Drosophila melanogaster: one gene and its partners. The gene in region 4 interacts genetically with the main gene of each other region. Each region holds a gene or a part of one and is shown on either strand. Other genes may lie near its edges. The genes, in order: Sulf1, egg, Sdc and dally.

Region 1 (5,273 bases), on a different chromosome or scaffold from region 4:
CCATATCCTCCGGCTGCCTCTTGGCCCAATTTAGGGATGCCGACGATGCGGTGAAGGCGCGCGACGGCTACGACTACGATGGGTATCGTCTGCGCGTGGAGTTCCCGCGGGGCGGTGGTCCTGGAAGCTACCGCGGCGGCAACCGCAATGACCGAAGCCGCGACGGTGGGGGACGGATGGGCGGACGCGGACCGCCAGCCAAGCGCTCGCAGTACCGCGTCATGGTTACTGGACTGCCCGCCTCCGGATCGTGGCAAGATCTCAAGGATCACATGCGCGAGGCCGGCGACGTCTGCTTCGCGGACACTTACAAGGATGGTTCCGGCGTCGTTGAGTTCCTGCGCCACGAGGACATGAAGTACGCAATCAAAAAATTGGACGACTCTCGCTTCCGATCGCATGAGGTATGTAAATTGTCCAGTTCCAACTTTGTAAAATTCAAATGTATTCGGGTTTCAAGGTAGAGAATTTACTTTTGCATTTATTTTGTCAGCATACATTATTCACAGGCTGGAATAATTAAATATGATTTCAGGAATAACATTAAGTTATATTGGTGTAGATGCTTACACTTACGCCCTTAAATGTGTCAATTTGATAAACATCTAGTTCACATTCCTGTTTACATTTTGAAAAATAGTTTGGCGACATTATTCAAATGATATTAATATTTTTATTGTCTTTAGGGCGAGGTTGCCTACATTCGCGTACGCGAGGATAGCGGTGATAACGACAGAGGCGGTGGTGGTGGCGGCAGCGGTGGAGGTGGTGGCGGCAGCGGCGGAGGTGGAAGCCGTGACTACCGCGACAGGTAAACCAAATATTACCACAGTTCATTTTTCAATATTTATTCTATGAATCCCTCCACAGATCCCGTTCGCGCTCATTCTCGTCGAGGCCGCGCCGTCGTGGCACTCCCACATACTCCCCAGTGCGACGTCAATCTTATTCCAGGTCTCGCTCACGTTCTAACTATTAAACACAACCAAGCATTATCCATTAATCTATAATATTTTAATGAGCAGGAAACAGGAAAAGCAAGCTATATTAGGAAATACCAATCAATATTTGTTCAAGACCCCTCAAATACCCCAATTGTAAATTGATTTGTAAAATGAAATCAACGACCAATCAAGTTTGTTCAGTCAAGTTCCGAACTCTCACCGAAGCCAACATACTTAAAAAAGAAAAACACTTGCTTTTCCAACTTATCACACGTTCTAAGAAGCAGAAATGTTCTCTTAAGTTATAATCCACCGGGCAAAATTTGACAAAAACAGTTCTAAAATGACAACTGTAAACCAAGGAATTCTCTTTGGCCAAAAGCACTCGGCATTCCTTGATTTGCTTTTGATTATCTTTTGAGCCTTTGCTCAGTCTGCTTCCTACATATTATATTATAACTCTTATTTTGGCTGCACGTTTTCCAAGCTAATTTATTAGAATCTACCTTAACGAAAACAAGAAACATCGATACAGAATAAATATGTTTGTAATGAGATAAAGAAAAGAAACAGAAATCCGAACACAACGCAATGTCAACCACATTGATAAGCAAACTATTAATACTTTAATTTTTATTTTCTTCTCTTCCCCATTTTGCGCGTTTATGTTTGGAGAGTGATGAGGATGTGGAGGATGAGGATTAATGGATGTGGAGGAGGATATTTTGATGTTGATTTTGGCGTGGATTGGATAAATTTGGATTGAATTTAGTGGAGGCAGGACCTGTCTATAGATCTTATAAATATGAAAATATTTATTTGATTGTAATCAGGATTGGATTTGGATTTAGGATTGTTCTGAGCCCTTCGCTAGGACAACGTGGGATGCAGTGTCCCATGGCTAACTCGCACCTCGGAGGAGGAGGAGACAGGAATTTCGCATTGTTGAAGGATTTTATGTGTGAACTTTGGTCGTGTTCAGGTTAACGGATGTTTGGAGGAGGAGAATGTCGATGGCATCGTTGACGGTGAGGAACACTTGCGTTGCCCTTGGACAGGACTAAATCATACAGTTTCGGACTCGGCCGCATCTCTTCGAGCCTCGCCCCTTCTTCGGCATCTGCCTAACGGTCGGGATTAGGATTCGCTTGGACAGGCTCACACGCTTTGTTGTCGCCTTCTTTGGATCGCACTTCAGAAACTAGCTCACCCAGGGAACCGCGTATTTCGTGGCCTTCGCGCCCCTGTCGTTGTCATTTCACGGATTTGCTGTGCATCATCCAACGTTGACTTGCGCCCAACGCTGGATAGTGGATAGTGGTTCTTGGTCTGGTCCGATCCGATGCGTTCCGGTCTCCCTCTGTCTCGCCTCTCTGTGGTATGTTAGATTGCCACATCAAATTTAACTTTTAATTTGCGTTATTTAGTTTATAATTTATATACTCTTTACCCAAATCTTTCGTCTCCATTGATATTGTTGCCTCTGAAATGTGGCGATTGTCGCGTGTGCGTTTTGTTTTTCATTTTTTTTGAATAGAAGGGCGAAAATTCATAGGCCCCGACTATAGCCCACACCCGCATCATTTGCATGAACTTTCGTTAACCTAATAAAAAGTAATACCACAGCAATTTTGGAACAGAACAGTTCTCTCGTTCTCCTTGCTTATCGATCAACATATAAGCCATAGTTCTAACATATTTTTGAAATGAAATACACATTTACAATAAATATTCATAAAAATTAAGAAAAATGTCATGCTTTTAATACAACATTATAAGATGGGTGCAATCAAATACTTTTAGCAATTTATCTTGCTGAGATTATGAGCTTAAAATTAGACTGCTAGACTCGTGTAGCAGGTATTTGTGTTTATGGGATGTTCCTGTACTTATGAAGATTACAAATTAAGTTTGCTTGTATTATCTGCAGGAAAGACTTCTGTTCTGGATTTCACAACCTTTGCATTCCGAATCAATTTTAAACTTCCCGCTTATGGATTTTTACAGAGGACTGTTATTAGGGCAATGATGACCGTATTGTTTTAACGCAAAATACCAGATTTCTCTGTGCGAAAAACGATTTTTGGTCACTTTGCAGCACGGCCACACTGGCAAACAAACTATATAAGCAACACGCGCATTTTGTTGTTGGGTTTTTCAAAAAATATTCACCAGCTGTTCGGACGCGCGTGGGAACTGCTCTGTGTTTGTTGTTTTTTATAATTTCGAACGGAACGAACTGGTCGCATACGGATTTTAATTTATATTTACGTACTAAGCTAACGCGCGCTGTAAAATAAAAGTAGCGTAGAATTTCTAAACCAACCATCTGACACGAGAAAAGTGCGCCAAAAGTTCGGAAAACCCGTAGAAACCCTGTTGAAAGTACGAATTGCATGTCAAAATTGCTAACCCACGTAATAATGAATAACAAATAATTCGGAAAGTGCAATTTCGTGGGCAGTCTTTCGACAGCTGAAGGAGAAGATATCGGCCCAGATAGCCGGCCCTTCGTTTATGAATTGTGTTTTGTGGCGGTGTATCCAGCTTATCTCCGCCTTGTTCGGCTCCAGTTTTATTGAACTCTACCGGATCGGACGGTACTACCCATCTGGGGATAGTCAGTGGGACTGAGGAAGCTATTAATCGATCGCGATTGTACAACCAATTACCGGGTTTATCACCTAATTCGAAGCCGCTCGGCACGACGCGAACTATAAATAGAAGCTGAAGTGTCCAAATAATCGGTAGACAGCGCTCATGATCACAATCGCAATAGTGTGTTAAAACTACAACTACTGGAAGTTTAAACAGATATATATATATATTTAGATATAGCCTGAGGTAAGAAGTGCATTTTATGGATGTTTTGCATGCCCACGGAACTGCTGAGATCATTAAAGTTGGCTATTGAAAGCGCAGCATCAGCGAATTCCCCCTAGGAGTCATTGTTCTCGCTTGAAACTTAAAAGGTTTTTTTATTGATCATAACTTGAAATTAGTTTTACGGGGGGAAGATCGACTGATCCAAGCAAATCATGCGATACTAGTCGTTTGTGGTCCTCATCAGGCATCCCAACTTGTTTGGTCTTTGTTCTACCGACTGTTCAACAGCACTTCCTCAATATTCCTGAGTGAAAGTAAGGCTTGGCTTCGATCGTTTGACATTGGTAATGTGACCCACTTAGGAGTAGGGTGCTTCTTTGGTAACTCGATCTGTCAAGCCAGAGGTGTTGCCTTGTGGCTACCTACTACCTAACTAACTGCTTGCAATACAACCTGCGTAGGGTCTTCAAGGTCTCCTCCCCGTCGGTTTCCTGTTCATCTAAGCAACCACTGTGAGAAAACTTGAGCTGTCTGTAGGAACACCTAGCATCAATATACAATTATGTGTGTAAAATAAGCATCCATATTCAGCAGCAATTTTTAGAATCCAGTTTAATTGTATTATGAGTATACATTGTATCTAGGGTTCCATACATTTCTTGCTAGTTATTTGTAGCAGTGCATATGTGTGCAGGCAGCTCGTTTGAATCCCTTGTGCGTCTCTAATCGGAGACCTGCCCATATGACCGGGCTCTGCTCTTTGTCCTCCCCGGCGTGTTAATCTTTTGTTGTGATGAGATGCTTATCACACCTACCGCCGCCTTGCGACAGGTGCATTCTGAAGTTTCCGCTGGAGCGAACCGCAACTGGAAACTGGCAACTGGCAACTGGCAGCCGTGGAAATGGGAAACCCTTTTCGCTCGACCATTCAAGTGCCGCTGTTCGTTTGACCGAATGATTGACGGGCGGCAACTGTGACCCCTTAACCCCTTGTTGCCGGCACTCAATGGGCCGCATCGCGTAAGCAATTTATGTTAATTGTTGTTTGCCTGTTGTGCCTTGCCTTTTGGACCGGGTCCATTCACTAATCGCTTGGAGGAAATTTAATTTAATGCGTATAACGAAACCACCCTTAAAATTTACCGATTGCTGACTAATTGTGGGAATTTTTAAATAATACCAGATACCCAATAGCAAGACAACTTTTTGCCTTAACTGGCAATTCGAAGTAAAACAAAAGATTTGTTTGCTAGATGATATGATTAAGTCGCAACATCAACAGATAAGATAATTTTTTGTTTATATAGAAGAAATAATATCTCTGCAATTCTGCAAAAAATGGTGTCCCATAGTTTCAGGGAATTCATTTCGAAAGCTTGAAAAATGCGCTACAAGCTTAAAAAATTTAAATTTAATAGTATGTCTTAAGGGTATTTCAGTTTCGTACAGATTTGTTTGCATTGAAGTACCTTGTATTTTCCAAAGCCAGTCTGGACAAGCATT
Region 2 (7,064 bases), on a different chromosome or scaffold from region 4:
TTTAGCGGATGCTGTACGCATTATAAACGCAGGCGGATTTTACGTTAACCAGAAGCGGGTGCAGAATATCGCCGAAGTGCTAACTACGGGCGTGCACATCCTGCGCAACGGAATTTCTCTGCTGCGCGTGGGCAAACGCAACTTCTATATTGTGCGCTGGCAATAGTTAACAGTAAACCTCTTATCCGGTAATGTTAACTTTTAATTGTTGTTAAATAATCATAGAATGGCTTACATTGTAAGAACTTATGCTATTTATGTGGGTCTGGGGGCGGGCTTTTTGCGCCACCGCTTTCGCGCCAGCATTTCCTTGGCCTTCTCCTTTTTCAGGTCCTTGTCGTAAAACTTGCCGCTCTTCGTGAAGGTCTTCTGCTCGTTGCGCATCTCGGCCAGCTTTCGGTTCTTCTGTTTGATGATGTTCTTCTTGTTGGCCGACTTCTTCTTGCCCGCCTCGGAGATCTGCACCTTGATGTTGCGTCCCTGCAGCTCTGTGTTGTGCAGCTGGAAGGCATTCTGGAAACTGCTTAGGTCGGCCATTTCCACAAAGGCGAAGCCCCCTCGTCGCTTCTTGGGAATGCGGATAGACTTGACCGTGCCTGCCGCAGAGAAGTGCAGCTCCAGGTCGTCCTTTGTGGTTTCGAAGTTCAGGTTCGTCACGTACAGGACGTGTCTGTTGGTTTTGGAGGCTCCTCGAAGCAGTGAACTCAGCTGGTCACTGGTTATCTGCCCATTTTCCGCAGATTCCTCTTCCTCGGCTCCGGAAGCAGCACTGCCCTCAGCGGCTGCCTCGTCGTCGGACTTGGCCTCATCCTCGCTCTTACTATCCTCCGGGTCACTGGGATTCCGTCCGTCCTCCTTGTCCACATACGTGCCCTCGAAGATCTCCCTTCGCTTCTGGTCATCGAAGTTTCCCAATAGATCCGCACTGTCGTCGTTGACTGTGCGTTGAACTCGCTTGGGATTGAAGAAAGCCTCCACCTCATAATCGCTGCCAGAATCACTGGCCATCGTGATATTTCTGGGGGAGATTGCAGTGCACACCGATACGCAGACACCACCACGTGGGATTCCCTCTGAATGGCAAATCTGTGCGGTCCCAGACATTTTCCAGCACTGGCTAATTGCGCGCCAAGAAATTCAAATCCCAGGCCATATTGCAATCGCAGCTTGTTAGAAACCGGTTGCAACTGCGGGAGCAAAATCAGACTGCTAATGGAGTTATGCGAAAATAATGCTAATCGGCGTTAGCATCGAAGGAACCGGTTAGCTCTTATCAGCTAAAAATTAATCGTGCGGTGCTGACAATTGATGAACGTGGTTGTTTTGGGAATCTTCCGCACAGATCTCCAAAGATAACCCCCCGAATATGATATGCCGAGTGGGGCGATAATTAATGCCTGCAGAATGACTGCATCTATGTCTTTTGTTTAATTAAGACAAACGACCGCTGGGAGCCAGTTATGAAGAAAATTTATGCAGTTGGTGATTCCGGCCGGTAAAATGTCAGTGGAGAGCTACATATAAAAGCGCAATTTTCGGCAACCAGCAGTCAAAATTTTATCGCTATCTATCAGCACACACATCCCCTTTCCAACCATGAAGTTTGTGGTAAGTGGCATCGAAATTAGATTTTGGGGACCTCTGAACAACGATTTGTCTTTTAGATCGTTCTTGCCTGCCTTTTGGCCGTGGTCTTCGCCAACGAGGAGGCTGATGTTGTAAAGAGCGACTCCGAGGTTAACTTGCTGGACTTTAACTACGCTTATGAGCTATCCAACCATATTCGCGCCGTGCAAACTGGAGCCTTGAAGGAGCACGACAACTGGGTGGTTTCCGGGGAGTACGAGTACGTGGCCCCCAACGGCAAGACCGTCAAAGTGGTCTACACCGCCGATGAAACCGGCTACCACCCAAAGGTCGTCGAGGCCTAATGAACAGGACCCACTCCCGAAGACCGAAATAAAAAATTAAATCCATTGCAGCAGCGAACATTTTGAATTTCCGTTCTTTTTCTTTTGTGTGAATAGACACTCTTCTTCTTTCTGCCACTAAAATCTAGGGCTGGCAAATTACGAGCGAAATTTTATACAATGTTATCGCTTGTCTCGCAAATTTGCATTAATGTGTAAAGTTAAGTAAACTCATTAAAACTATGTCTGGGCAGCCAACAGCCGTGGACTGCTTAGAGAGCAGTGGAAGCACAGTGGAGGATGTCCAAGAAACACCGGCGTCGAGGGAAAAAAGTTACGGGTTGCCGGTGCGCAAAGGAGAAAATAGCTTGGAGTCTCCTGCAGAACAAGCCGCAAAGGATGTGGAAATTGAGGAACTGACACACAGTGAAGCAATCGCCGCCACCGGTTCAACCAGGAAGCAGTGCCCATATGGAGGTAAGGCCCCTGATGAACCTGGAAAGTTGGCCGACGAATCGGAGGACCGCAAGGGAGAGAACACGAAAGCCATTGCAAGCAGCCCGGTTTTGGTAGCTGTGGATTCGGACAGCAGTGTTGAGCTAATAGAGAGTCCTGTCAAATTCTCCTCCGCCAACGAAAGTGAGAAAGATCCGCCAAAACCAGATGCTGTCAATGAAGCTGCGGCTAAAGAGGCCGAGGAAATGACTGATAGCAGCATCAGCAGTCCCACATCCGAAAGTTTTCCTGAAAAAGATGAAAAGACCAATAAGGAAAATGAGCAAGAACCTCCTGGCATGGAGGTAGATCAGGACGTCGAGGAGTCAATAAGTCGACCAGCAGAAGAATACAAAATTGAGAATACATTAAAAGGTCACAAGCGTATTAGCTTAACGGAAATCGAAGAACACAAAATTGTTGATAAAAAAGACGATGTCCTAGAGGTGGAGCTTGAAAAGGGCACTGCTCCGAAAGCTGCAGAAGACGAGAAGCTGAACGCTTTGTTATCAGATGGAGATGTCTTCTACGACAAGGAATGTGTCAACTGCAATTGCACAAAGCTTCATAAACAGTACGTGTTGGCTAACATGGCCACTTTAAACTTTTACCAGGTGCTCCGAAAGTCTTCCAAGCAGCAGTTCCTCTGCATGGGATGCCATGACACAGCAATGGACTTGTATGAGGTCAACTAGCATATTTATTAACTTAAGAGGGAAACTTAGAACGTATTTCTTTATTTAGGAGTATGCTGGACAACTAATGGCCAAGCAGCCGCTGCTGCTAAAGGATTTCCATCAGGATCACGCCGACTTTGTGGCTCTGGACAGCAGCGATGAGGAGGAAGAGGAGAAGCAGCCAGGTGAGACTGCTATCATGATAAATAAACAATAGCAAAAAAAAAAACGTACTAAATATATTTTATCCGCACAGAAAAATCGGACTTTTCGAAAAACAAGCTGCAGCTCATCGAAGATGAACTCGATGATGCCATCAAAAATGTACTTAACAAGGTGGATTTTACGGCTCAGCTGTCCTGGTCAAAAACTATTCTCCAGGCGAAAGCAGACCACTTGGAGCGACAATTCGCACTGGCAGATGTGGAACTCGAAAAAGTTCAGACCACCGCTGACAAAATGCACTGCGCTTTGTATAACTCGTGTCCGGTGGCACACAAACATCTGCCCACCCTGGACATTGAACCCAGTGACTATGTGGTAAGTAAGAAGTGATGCCGTTTGGATCTGATTTAATACAACCATTTACTCAGCATGAAGTTCCACCTCCTGGCGAAATCGTGCGTCCTCCAATACAGTTGGGAGAGACATACTACGCTGTTAAGAACAAGGCTATTGCCAGCTGGGTGTCCATAAAGGTAATCGAGTTTACAGAGAGCACCGCCATCAACGGAAACACGATGAAGAGCTACAAGATTAGGTACCTCAACACTCCGTACCAGATGATCAAGACAGTGACGGCCAAGCACATTGCCTACTTCGAACCACCGCCAGTGCGACTGACCATTGGTTAGTTCCCAATAGACCGGTTATTTATCAATCTATAAACTAACCCACTCATTGTGCACTAGGTACCCGCGTGATTGCGTACTTCGATGGCACCACTTTGTCGCGGGGCAAGGATAAGGGCGTGGTGCAGAGCGCCTTTTATCCAGGCATCATCGCTGAGCCGTTGAAGCAGGCCAATCGCTACCGCTACCTAATATTCTACGACGATGGGTACACTCAGTACGTTCCGCACCGCGATGTCCGTCTAGTTTGCCAGGCTTCCGAGAAAGTGTGGGAGGACGTACACGCCGCATCGCGCGATTTCATACAGAAGTACGTGGAGAAGTACTCCGTGGATCGTCCAATGGTGCAATGCACCCGGGGACAAAGTATGACCACTGAATCGAACGGGACCTGGCTGTACGCGCGCGTCATTGACATCGACTGCAGCTTGGTGTTGATGCAGTTTGAGGGCGACAAAAACCATACGGAGTGGATATACAGGGGTTCATTGCGCTTGGGTCCTGTCTTCAGGGAAACCCAGAACAATATGAACAGTTCAAGCGCACAGCAGCTGCGTGTCCCAAGAGTAAGCATCGTGTCGATTCATCCTGCGGTCCTAACTACAAAATGTCTTTCTTTTTCAGCGCACGGAGCCCTTTATTCGGTACACCAAGGAGATGGAGTCCAGCAGCAAGGTGAACCAGCAGATGCGTGCCTTTGCCCGCAAGAGCAGCGCCTCCGCCCAAAATAACGCATTAGCGGCTGCATCTTCGGCAGCAACCCCAGCCGGAGGACGCACCAATGCAGGAGGTGTCAGCACCAGTAATAGCGCAAGTGCTGTGCGACACCTAAACAACTCGACAATCTACGTGGACGACGAGAACAGGCCCAAGGGCCATGTAGTCTACTTTACAGCCAAGCGGAATCTGCCTCCCAAAATGTACAAGTGCCACGAGTGCAGCCCGAACTGCCTCTTTAAGATCGTTCACCGTCTGGACAGCTACAGTCCGTTAGCGAAGCCTCTGCTTTCTGGCTGGGAACGTCTTGTCATGCGGCAGAAGACCAAGAAGTCTGTGGTATACAAGGGACCTTGTGGCAAAAGCTTGCGCAGCCTGGCCGAAGTTCACAGGTACCTTCGAGCTACTGAAAATGTGTTGAACGTAGACAATTTTGACTTTACGCCCGACCTCAAGTGTCTGGCCGAGTACTCCATTGATCCCTCGATCGTGAAGGACACGGACATTTCAAAGGGGCAGGAGAAGATGGCGATTCCGCTGGTAAACTACTACGACAACACCCTGCCGCCCCCATGCACCTACGCGAAGCAGCGCATCCCTACCGAGGGTGTTCATCTGAATCTGGACGAGGAGTTCCTCTTGTGCTGCGACTGCGAGGACGACTGCTCGGTAAGACGTCTTACAGATCTGATTACCTCAAATTATACCCAGCCGCCCACTATTTTGTGTATCCCTATCAGGACAAGTCAAAGTGCGCCTGTTGGCAGCTAACGGTGGCGGGCGTGCGGTACTGTAACCCGAAGAAACCCATCGAGGAGATAGGCTACCAGTACAAGCGGCTCCACGAGCACGTGCCCACCGGCATCTACGAGTGCAACTCGCGCTGCAAGTGCAAGAAGAATTGCCTGAACCGGGTGGTGCAGTTCTCCCTAGAGATGAAACTGCAGGTGTTCAAGACCTCAAATCGTGGATGGGGCTTGCGCTGCGTTAACGACATCCCCAAGGGTGCTTTCATCTGTATTTACGCCGGCCATCTGCTCACGGAGACGATGGCCAACGAAGGCGGACAGGACGCCGGCGACGAGTATTTCGCGGACTTAGATTACATAGAGGTCGCTGAACAGTTAAAAGAGGGATACGAGTCGGAGGTGGACCACTCGGACCCGGACGCCGAGGAGGACAACGGGGGACCCGATGCCGAGGACGATGACGACTTCCGGCCAAACTATCACTACCAGCGCAAAATCAAGCGCTCTTCCAGAAGCGGCTCCACGCAGAACAGCTCCACTCAGAGCAGCGAGTTGGACTCGCAGGAGCGTGCGGTGATCAACTTTAACCCAAATGCTGATCTGGACGAGACGGTGCGGGAGAACTCGGTGCGGAGGCTTTTCGGCAAGGACGAGGCGCCCTACATCATGGACGCCAAGACAACGGGCAACCTTGGACGCTATTTCAACGTGAGTTGGAAGTTTTTTGTTATTTTGCCGTGTGGCTGATTCTCTTCTTCTCCCGCAGCACTCGTGCAGCCCCAATCTCTTCGTGCAGAACGTGTTCGTGGATACTCACGACCTGCGTTTCCCCTGGGTTGCCTTCTTCTCGGCCGCGCACATCCGCTCCGGCACCGAGCTGACTTGGAACTACAATTACGAGGTGGGCGTGGTGCCCGGCAAGGTGTTGTACTGCCAGTGCGGGGCCCCCAATTGCCGCCTTCGTCTGCTCTAAGTTCTAGCTTAAGTTAGAGATCCATACAGGAAATATACTCATTAAAGAAGAATTAGAATTAAAAATTTAAACTTTAAACATTATCTGTTCCGTTAGGGTAACGGAAACATTGCATTTTTATAAGCTACTGCTGTTCTGCACCGTCCGTTTCAAAGTACACAATTTTCTTCACGTTTAGTGTTAAAGGAATAAATATAGACAAATGAATTTTAAAAAATTATACTTTAAAAAAATAATAATGTTCGTTAATTTAACGGTATTAATTTATGTGGTATTTTAACGCATTTTACCTAGTGGTATACTTAATCATCAGCCGTACGGTATTTTTAATCGTTATCCGAACGGTCACACTATCCACCGAGCAAAAAAGCAAATTTAGGCTTTTTAAAATTCGAGAGTAGCTAAATTAGGGGCCGCAATGCGCCAAGCTCACCTGTAAGTGGCTCCAGCAAGTGTCTCGTCGCAGGTGCACAGGTGCTAGGCAGCAGGACTCCGCCGACGGCTGACTAAGAGCAGCTTATCCGCCCCTTGGGAAGAAAAAATCGATTTTGTGATAACGGGCTTACGCTTACGCGTTTTTGCACTGCTAGTCGGAACCAATTGCCAGTAGACTCCACACCATGAATGTGGACTTTGCGAGGGTGTGCGGGAAGCACATAGGCGTCTACGAGGCCTACTACAAACTGGTAAGC
Region 3 (5,212 bases), on a different chromosome or scaffold from region 4:
AGTTTATAACCTTAATTGATTTATGAAGCTGATAATATTTTTAAACTAATGCGCTACACTTATTAGTCATTTACACAAACAAAGTAAGGTAATAGTACTTACTAAATTGGCCAATGGGACATCTATGCCGTTGGTCATTTCGGTTTCGGGTTCTCTACTGGGCGACGATTCCTCCGAGAGCTCCTCGAGGACCTGCCCGAGAACAGACGATGCGGTGACCTCCTCCGGCAATAGGGATTGCGATTCTGTGCCGGACGCAGTGATGGAGATGGATGACAATCCAACTGCTAACTCCTCTACAGTTTGTTTGGATTGCGTTGGCGGTGGAACAGCCTGATCTTGGTGCTGGTCCTCATGCTTGACCTGTTCCGGCTGTTGATCCTGTTCCTTTGGCTCCACCTGAACTTCACTCGTTTTCTCATCTTCGGGGGGCGTTGCTAGCTCCTCCGAGTGACTGCCATTGCTCACGGGCGACGGACCCGACGAGAAGGTGGAACAGGATGAGGTGGTCAGCGATTCGGAGGACGATACTATCGTCTGGCCGTTATTTTTGGACGCCTGTTCGCTGAACTTGTGGATGTCGTCTTCGTGTTCCGCCTCCGTTTGCCAGTCGTAGCTGGGTAATTGGGCATCCACCTGCAAGGACTTCACATTTTCCCTGTAGTCATCCAGGCTGTTGAAAACCTGAGAGACGCCCACAAAGGACTTTCCAGACGCCGGTGTTGGTGTTACTCCCGCAGCTCCCGATACTCCGGCGCCAGCTCCAACTCCACTGATCGATGCACTTGCTCCGTCGCCCAGAAAACGGCCAGGATTTGCACCTGCAGCTGCTGCTGCCGCTGCATTTCTACTCAGCTGCTCATCGGCGGCAATGCTCAGTTCCAGATTGTCCAAAACCTGATCAATGTCCACCAAGTCCATGGCCACCAAATCCGCAGAAACCTTAAATAAAATTGAACCAACCAGGTTTATCTGCTTGCATTTTCACAAAAACGCAAAAGAGAAAAAACAACACAAAAAGATGTGGAGAAAAAACGGTCTTGTGATTCATACCTTTTTCACACCTCGAATATAGTCATAACAAGGCAATGAGGAAAACAAGGACGTATTCGCCTTTAATAAGCAATATTAAGCACCTGCAATCACCTTATTTACTTTGTTTTCTTCTCGCTAATTTATTAACAAAAACTCGGTGACGAAAAACATTGTAAGAAACTGCCTAAAAATAGCCATGGAAACAGTGTTGCAAAGACAAAAAAAATTAAGTCAAATTAGCACCTTTCTCATTTAGTATTTTATGATGCTATCTCGTTCTATCTTTCTCTATAATCTGTTACTGTTACAATGTTAACATAAACCGTAACACCTTTTCAAATTTGAAAATAATAATAGGTAAAAGCTGTCGGGTCCTACACGAATATGAATGCTTCAATTGTTCAATATTAATGCGTATGAATTCAAACAAATCTATTAACATTGGGTCTGGGAAATTTTAGCCGCCAGTCTGTGTTTTTAAAAAAATGTTGGGTTGTACAACTGAACTAACAGTATCACAGAATAACAGTGAACGTACGAGCAACCGAAACAGTGTAAATCAGTGTAACCGCAGCTTAGCTCAAGAAAAATACTATAAGCATTTAAATATGAAATCTTGCCGATTTAAATGAATTCAAAATGTTAATTATATTTGATTGAATTATTATTTGCCTATCAAACATTTAATAATTCTATAATAATATCTTAAGCAAATCATGTAAACAAACAGTAACATAAGAATAAAACCAAAAAAATTCAAGATGTTAAAGTAACATTTTTAATCGCGAAATTGTAACAGAAATATATAAATTTTAAATGAGTACGCGTTTCGGAGTGTCTATTTAAGTCATCACCCAGCTAAGCATAAGAATTGGTATTTTTTAGGAAATGCACAGCTTGGATAATTGAGTCGTTTCTGCATCTGGTAACATTGGCCAAGTCATTCGAAAAAATTTTACGGAGCGAAGAAGGCACGGTTACGTCCGGATTTTAGCGCGATTTCGTGTCTGTTGTTTGGTCGGCACTCGAGTGTAAAGAAATTTGTACATCCCCGAAAAGAATCGCGAGTGCAATTTTGTAAATACGGAGAGGAAAAGGTGCGCAAAATAGCAAAAATAAATGCAACGAAAATAAACGCAGCAAAACAACGGGCAGAAAGATACGAAAAGAAGAGGCAGGCGAAGCAGAGGAGAAAAGAGACACATAAAGAAGCCGCCATAGCGGCGTTAGTGGGAAAGAGAGGGCGCGAGAGGAGACGGAGAGCGAATACGAATGCGTATGGTGTAGTTGTAGTGGTGGGCGGTCGTGTTTTTTTTCGTTGAAAAATCTCTGGATTCAAAGGGAAAAACAGAAAAACAAAAGGAAAATACAGTGTATTATACGAAAAATTTGTTAAATTTTATGTTTTTAAAATTATAAATTACAAAAATCGAATTCGATTAAAACACCCACACACACACCAATACACACAGTAGTTGCGCTGTTGTCTCCTCTTTATTTTTGTGTTTTTCTCTCTGCGTAAACGTTTTGTTTATTACCCCCGCTCTTCTACTTCCTTTCTTTGATTTTAGCCGCGCGCGCATACGATAAATTGTTGTTAATTTTACAGTGTGTAATGCTTAATTAATACCCTGTCTCTCCAACCAACGCTATCTCTTTTGTTTTGCAATTCGATTGATAACACATCGGGAATAGTGTGTGTCTGGAAAATAAATAATCATAATAATCATAGTTTCATGTGTGTATTTAAACAGCGTTCTTCTAGTGTGAAACCAGTTTAAAAAGCTGCAAGAAATATATATAGCTCAATATATATATTTATATATGTGTGCCGCCGCCAGTTCTAATCTTTAAATCAATAAACAAAACTGGAAGCCATTAGCTGAAATCACAACAACAGCAACCGCAGAAGAAACCAACGGGGAAAATGAAGCCAAAGCAGAAGATTTCCGTAGAGCCGCTATTGCTAGTCGCAATTCTCATCGGAGTTCTGGTAGCCGCCACCCACGCTCAAGATCAGGTAAGATCTCAAAAATTACACCCGAAACTACCAAATGTTATTAGTTTACGTTGAGATAAGCCAAAATCAATGGCCAACTTCAAGTTTACCTGGCCAACCGAAATTTAGCCGACTTTGTGATAATATTAATGTGGCTTTAATGGCCATTGAATGCTTATTCATATTAATACGTCACACAGCTTGATTAATTACGAATGGGTCATTATTAGACATTGCTATCCTTTTGTAACGACATACACATGCCCACCAGTTTGGGCACAAAGTGGAGCATTTAAGTGGCCCCTTTCAAAAGCATAGTTGCGTAAGCCCATTGCTGCTTGTAACTGCTTACCAATTAAATCGAGGCAGATTCAATCAGCAATCCGAACTCCCAATTTTCGCCACCTTGAGAGGGTTCGGAACTCCAAGTTCGGTTCGATTTCTTGTTCACTTCAGTTGTTTTTGCGGTTTGCGGTTGTCCAATGCTGTTTCTGTTGTTCTTGTTGTTCTTGTTGTTGCACTTATCATGCAAAATTCGGCAGCCCCAAGGTGGATACATGTGTCATATACCCATGTACCATGTGGCAGAGGCTTGACGGGCAACGGGCATGGGCATGGTCAATCTCCAAGGCATTGCACTGAATGCAATTTGTGGCTGCAGATAATGAAGAGGAAAGGCCTCCATGTCCCGATGAATGTAAGCCGTAAGCTTCTGGCTCCATTGCTCCACTCCTTGGCTTCTTGTAGAAAAGACATTAAAAACGTCTGCATTGCGAACGCATAAATATGGCAGTGAACTAGACGCACAGACATCGGCACTGTGCAATATATATATATAGATAGTTATACATAGATATAGATATCGATATAGAGGACGAGGCGGCTGCTGGTCAAATAAGGCTGCAAATCCGAAATGGTCATCGACTCCAACGCATCGCATCCAGCCATCCATCGATGTTGTCGACTGTTACCCATTAGCGATGAGAGATGAGTGCCGCCACAGAAACAGATATGCCGCCACGTTCATATGGGGAATGCTACTCGGAGATATAGAGATGATTCAATTTCCGACGAATTCCTTTCTATTCGTCTCTCGTGCTTTCTTTAATCACCTGCTCTGCCCAATGAGATCATTTGGTGTCTGAATGTGCTGTTTTGAAAATTGTTTACAGATTCGAAACTGGCCTCTTTGGTGTTTTCCACTCATCACACAGTATTTTTGTCATTAATTGAGTAGTTTAATTTAGATTTACCGATTGTAAACTCTGCTTTTAAAGGGTGTTAACTTAGCAAAACCGGTTAAATTAATGGGCAAGTTGTGTAAATTGCTTAAAACAATTGCCAAGTTGACATTTATGTATTAGTGAAGGCAAAAGTTGGATTTAAACTGCATAATTTCACTTAAATTCTAAAAACTAATTTGAAGACTTGAGTTGGATTACTTATCAGCTTTTCTTGTTATCTAGCGCAATTACTCACATTAAGATTTATTGGCTGATAATAAAACCAGCTAATGAATCAGGCCGCAAGCCCAAAGGGCAATATTAATGTCTCCTTCTTATCTTCACCAAGTATTTTATGTAATTTAGCACATTTATTACATTCCGTGCTTTCTTGTTAGTTAATTATCCGAAATTAGAAGTTCTATTGAGATACGGTAAAAATTTAACAGCCAGTTTTCTTCATTTTCCGCAAAGAGTTTACAGTTGCATTTTCCACAGCTCATCACTGGAAAGCACTTCTTGATTTGGGCCTGGGTTCTGGGCCAGTTTTTGATACAACTTCTGCTACTGGTCACGATGATCTTTGGCATCGTCTGTTGCCAACAAAAGCATCCGGCTATTGCCAATTTCGATGGCTGTGTTTGCCTCTTTCACTGCCTGTTTGTTTGTTTGTTTGTTCGCTTGCCTGTTGGTTTGTTTGCCTTTATTGGTGTGTGACTTATTGGCCCGAAAAATTTCTACACACACTACTTGCACATAAATAGTGCGATGGCCTTTTACCCCTTCGCAAACGCCCGCCCGCCCCTCTCACCCATCTAAAGCAGTCTGTAATCTTGTTTTTGCCGTTCCTTCCATCTTGTGTCCTGTTTTTGGTGTTTGTCACTTGTTTTTGCCAAAATTGGCATTCGTGGTTATGCCCCCCTCCTCGGCTCCTTCGTAGCTCCTTTCCCTGTCG
Region 4 (4,854 bases):
GCCTACGGTTTACCTGTGCGATACAAAAATAAGGAGGAAAAAAAAACGGAAAATAAGGCGAGAGAGCGAGAAGTAAAAGGGTTTTGGTTTTGGTTTCGGTTTCGGTTTCTTTGGGACCTTCGCTCTCATCGATCGTTCCGTAGTGTACATTATAATTTATAACTTTATCTAAACGATGTGGTGGTGTTTAATTTTCGACCTCACCTTTTCCAGCTCGTTTTTGTTTTTTGTTGCCGTTTCGCCATCCCATCACCATCATCATCATCATCATCATCACGGTTGTTTCTGATGTGGATTCGTTTCATTGGAGAACTGTTTCCGCTTCGCATGACTCACTTTTCGCTGTTTGCCCCGGGGTCTTGAGTCTTCTCCTTTTTTTTTTCTTATTTTTTGGGAGGTCTTTCTTTATCGCACACTAATTTGAATAGGATTCCATTTCGTGATGAACATATCACCGGGAACGGAAAACATCCATGGGGGGTGGGAGGGCGTTTGCGCCCAGCTGGACGCCCGCAACTGACCACCATGAAGTTCCCGCTGCCCTGGCTATATAGTATCTTGTTAATGAAGAAATAGATACACAGACGCCCCGAGACGCCTAGGTATTTAAGATCGAGGTCGGTGCCCGCGGGGTGACGAGTGAAAGTCCGGGGAGAAGAGGCTGGTGTGTTCGGGTCGTGCATTGTCTGCCACACCGCTGCAGCCTCAAGACAATCGCTTCGTTTTCGCAAATTGCAAAGGGAAAAAATTAACAAAAGAAAAGAAATGAAGAAAAAAAAACAAACGATACCACCACACGTGCTGTGCGAGGTCATGACACGGCTATCAATTTGAACAGAAACATTTAGCCCTAGGGAAATAGCTGCCAAGCATCTGAGACTCTTCAAAGGCGTGAAATCTGAGCCTGCTCCACGGGTTCATCAAGCCGATCGTAAAACATAGCCTATGAAATAAAATTAGAACTCATTCAGACATCAATTAGAACCGAGCATGCAAATTTCAACCAGCGGCATCGATAAAAGCCCGGATTAAAAGCCACCGGAGCACCCGAGAAGACCACTGTGAGATGGATTGATTTACGTTGAATATGCAAATTGCAGCGAGCCAACGTTGAAAGCTTTTAGAAGAGCATTTCGAGAATTTGAATAAATATTTAGGCCCATCGGACACAGAGAAAAATAATCAGAATCAAGCCAGCTCCTGTGGCAGATGACACGGCCAGGGAAAACTCGAAGTTGGTCCTGAAGAATGCCGGAACCCATAAATAAATGCGAATCACTATTGAAATATATAAAACGAAAACAGGATATGTGTCATATCAAATTTTATGGAACTACGTAGATTCATTGGCTGTCGAAATCGTTTGGCAATCATCGAAGAGAATAGATATCTTACGAAAGCTAAGCTTGCGTTACTAACTTTAATTTCCCCTTTTACTCATACTACATGCTGTTAATAAATACAACATCTTATAAATTGTGGTTGGGCATTCCTTAATTAAAATACTTTATAATATCTAATAAGCATTACAAAGTTTGTGGTTTAGTTCGAAGCTCGTTTTCCAAAACTCTAAAGACTCAAATTAATTAATTCATTTCAGATTGCGCCCTTGTATTACTCATGTATTCTCGGCGTTAACCTGTGAATTAAATTGAGTTCGCATAAACACCTCTATTCATTGCACCACTGTGCCAACATCTGTGCTCGCCGTTCTCTTTTGTTCGAAAGAGAGCGTTCGGATGGTTCTCTTAGCGCCGATTGTCGAGTGCCGAGTGTGGTTCGTGTTCGCATCGTTAAAGTTGTAGCACTCAGGGCGGATGTTTGATTTCGATGGCAAAGTCAATCTGTTCGGGTTTCTCGTCGTGGAAGGTTCGTTGCGCGCGCGGAAAAACTGAAAATATCGGTGCGAAATTCGAGCGGAAAAACGCTAGAAAAGAAGGCGAGTGCATTTCCTCGACCTGAGAACGCCGGTGGCCAAGGAGCTTTGCAATTAAATCTATTTTCGCCGACCTAAGTACACAAAACGTAGGAGAAAATTAAAAAGAAGAAAAAAAAAACAAATCTAATCGCTGGCAAATCAATTGCTAAGGAATTGAGTACTATTCGTTGTTATGTCATGGAAAGTCTCTGAATAAGTTAAGAAAATACTTGTGAGAAATTTAGCGACCTTTCAAAACTAGAAAGTAGAAAAGCAAAAAGTGCTAGACACGCGCTCTCTCTTCGACCACCACCCACCACCACCCACTATCGCCATCCCACGTTTACTACCACGTTTATTGCTCACGCGTGTTTTTGGGGCCTTTTGTTTTGTGCGCTCGTGTTTGTGGCCGTGTGTGCCAGTGTGTGTGTGTGCGTGTTAGCCGGCAAGTGCATTTGTGTGAGTGTGTGTGTTTGTTGCCGCGAACAGCTGTTCACCCAGACAGCATGCAGAAGTAAATACGAAGAAGTGCTGCAAAATAGAGTAAATAAAATAACCGGCTAAAATAAAAATAAGAGAAGCATTCAAAGGCAAATCAAATTTAGCCCCATCATCCACTGTGTCTGCACACAGAAATCACCCATCAAAAATGGCGGCCAGGAGCGTGCGGCTAGCGCAGCTTTTGCTATTTACCCTGCTCTGCGGCTTCGTCGGCCTGTCAGCCGCCAAGCACCTGGACCTGGATGGTATCCACCACCACCAGCACCACCTGCACAGCGCCACCACGCACCACAGACGTCGCCTACAGCGGGACTCGCGGGCGAAGGACGCCGTTGGGGGATCGACCCACCAGTGTGATGCCGTCAAGAGCTACTTCGAATCGATCGACATCAAGTCGAGTGGGACTTACAGCGAAAAAGGTAAAGTTCACGCCATCCATCCGTAGAGTTATAATATCGAGTATGCACTTGGACATGCGGGCTGGGGAAGAAGCGGGGAACGATGGAGGAAGTTAAAGCTACCAATATGGTTAAGGCCCCTTAGGAGCAAACGTACTAACTTTAAACTATGCAGAGGAAAACGTATGTTATTTCCCCAGGTCACTAGAGTGGTTCGAATACTTAAAGTCTAAGTTATCTACTCCATTAAATAAGAAAGAGGTACATAAATTGGGATTATTGATAATGGTTTTTCAATTTAATTACTTTTGCATCCTCTCCGTTTAAAAACATTTCTTTTGCGGGAAATTCATTGCCTTGATTTCAGAGTTTGTCTTAACCCTCGCCTCGCCATCAGTCTTCCATACTTCAACCAAGTAAATCGCGCGTCAGCCAAAGTTTTTGCCATCCCGCAGCTGCAGTTTCTCTTATTTCTAGTCCGTTCTAGACCCCATCCGCTTCTCAATCCCCGCCAGAAACTAGAAGCATATGCAAATTCATTGAACTGAGTGAAACCCTCGAGCGGGCAGCCACTCGAGGCGAACTATGACCACTCGAACAGCCGGGCGCCGTTTGCAATTAGAAGATTGCGCATTGAGCAACGCCTCGGAAAAGTTTTCGACGTGCCGTGGATAAAGTTTTTGGCCGCGCCAGGTTCATTACATATCGGATCTGGCACCTCGCAGATGCAGAGATACATAGATACACAGGCGGCGGCATCATTTGTTATTCTGATTTCTCGACACTGCCATATCAAGTGGCACGCATCTGAGGCCAAACTGTGTGAAGGCTATGGAAGGTATATTTATATTTACCACAGCCGATATCCACAAGATACTCGACATATTTTTGTTTATGCATATTTCATACCCGAAGTCAAAAATAAGACCGAATAACCAAATAATGCAATACAATCCGATAATATCAGTCGAAAACGAGCGAATGTACCCAATATATATCTGTTTCGTGTAATTGAGTGAAAAATAATTATTATTGATTAGCCGACCTTGACTTGGTATTTACGCGTTTACGCACAATTACATGATACACAGCCGCAAACTCGACTGGAATACAAATGTATCTGGCGATGATGTTGCAACTTTTCCCTCCAATGCTTACCTGTCTGCAGAGGTTCTCGGTTCTCTTTGCTCATTCTGTTCAGTCGTTCCCACACGCAGGTAGTTAACGCCAAGAAGAACTATCTATGAGATACATTGCTGAGCAGACCGCATTGCCATGGCATCAAAGTGTGAAGAACCGAATAGCCAACCGAGAGTTGGCGTTACAAGTGCATGTTTGTGTGTCCCAGAGACTTATCCACCTGAATGCCAGAATGCCCAATTGAACTGGTAGCTGGAAGTTATTAGCGCTGGCTTTGAGGAATTTCAATTTGGCTAATGCCAGGCGGCGTATCTCCGATCAGCACCTATGTATGTATCTCTGTATCTCTGGTCGTTGCTCCTGCTTAAGTATGCCGAACCTTGTTTTCGACATTTATTTACTGTTTACATAGTTCCACTTGCGCCTGCCTCCGCCTCCGTAGAATTTATGCCCCGCCAATGTATCTATGTATATCTGTTAATGTATCTGTATCCGTACAGTACGTATCCGTATCTCCATCTATATCTCTTTCTGTTTGCTCTGGAGTGTGTTACTTTTACGTTTATGTGCTGTTTGTGATGCTAATCTCTCGTCGGTGCCATGCATACGATATGTTTCTCCCGATTTGCTTTTGCCGTGCAGTTCCCGGTAGAGGCGCTCGGCATAAAACTAAATTTTAATTTAATTGCGCACACCACTCGACTGCTAATTGAGTTGGCTTTGCTTTTGGGCCAAAAAAAAAAAACAGTATTACTCCGTGCCTATTAAAATGAACATTAACATTGGCGCGTTACAAAGACGCACAGGAAGTCGTAGCTGCAGTATCTAATCGTATCGCACAGTATCTGTATCTGTTTACCTGCAAGTATCTGTAGTATCTGTATCTATGCTTAAGGC

What was found.
Region 1: of dally (region 4) and Sulf1, changing one suppresses a phenotype caused by changing the other (phenotypic suppression), as found in Drosophila melanogaster (2 studies listed by BioGRID).
Region 2: of dally (region 4) and egg, a change in one rescues a mutant of the other (synthetic rescue), as found in Drosophila melanogaster (one study listed by BioGRID).
Region 3: of dally (region 4) and Sdc, changing one enhances a phenotype caused by changing the other (phenotypic enhancement), as found in Drosophila melanogaster (one study listed by BioGRID).

What each region holds. Positions count from the first base shown.
Region 1 is NT_033777.3:16,336,360-16,341,632, reverse strand, and holds the start of Sulf1 (sulfated), read left to right. Parts: upstream 1-2,057; 5' UTR 2,058-2,322; exon of another isoform or gene 2,323-2,690; intron 2,691-3,089; exon of another isoform or gene 3,090-3,788; intron 3,789-5,273. Other genes in the region: SF2 (splicing factor 2), read left to right, coding at 35-404, 687-811, 871-979.
Region 2 is NT_033778.4:24,774,902-24,781,965, reverse strand, and holds egg (eggless), read left to right. Parts: upstream 1-2,064; 5' UTR 2,065-2,152; coding exon 2,153-3,091; intron 3,092-3,149; coding exon 3,150-3,267; intron 3,268-3,338; coding exon 3,339-3,622; intron 3,623-3,675; coding exon 3,676-3,931; intron 3,932-3,993; coding exon 3,994-4,499; intron 4,500-4,557; coding exon 4,558-5,319; intron 5,320-5,390; coding exon 5,391-6,107; intron 6,108-6,165; coding exon 6,166-6,372; 3' UTR 6,373-6,432; downstream 6,433-7,064. Other genes in the region: TyrRS-m (Tyrosyl-tRNA synthetase, mitochondrial), read left to right, coding at 6-166; CG3594 (uncharacterized protein), read right to left, coding at 256-1,008; Lcp9 (larval cuticle protein 9), read left to right, coding at 1,597-1,608, 1,665-1,931; Eps-15 (epidermal growth factor receptor pathway substrate clone 15), read left to right, coding at 6,993-7,058. UniProt on the Drosophila melanogaster protein: Histone methyltransferase that specifically trimethylates 'Lys-10' of histone H3 (H3K9me3) in ovary. H3K9me3 represents a specific tag for epigenetic transcriptional repression by recruiting Su(var)205/HP1 to methylated histones.
Region 3 is NT_033778.4:21,477,934-21,483,145, reverse strand, and holds the start of Sdc (syndecan), read left to right. Parts: upstream 1-1,969; 5' UTR 1,970-2,132; intron 2,133-2,767; exon of another isoform or gene 2,768-2,789; 5' UTR 2,790-2,962; coding exon 2,963-3,055; intron 3,056-5,212. Other genes in the region: Sara (smad anchor for receptor activation), read right to left, coding at 103-921. UniProt on the Drosophila melanogaster protein: Cell surface proteoglycan that bears heparan sulfate. Required for axonal and myotube guidance, is a necessary component of slit/robo signaling and is required in the slit target cells.
Region 4 is NT_037436.4:8,825,666-8,830,519, forward strand, and holds the start of dally (division abnormally delayed), read left to right. Parts: upstream 1-1,839; 5' UTR 1,840-2,567; coding exon 2,568-2,838; intron 2,839-4,854. UniProt on the Drosophila melanogaster protein: Cell surface proteoglycan that bears heparan sulfate. Functions as a coreceptor for growth factors and morphogens, such as the products of dpp, to regulate signaling and distribution of these ligands.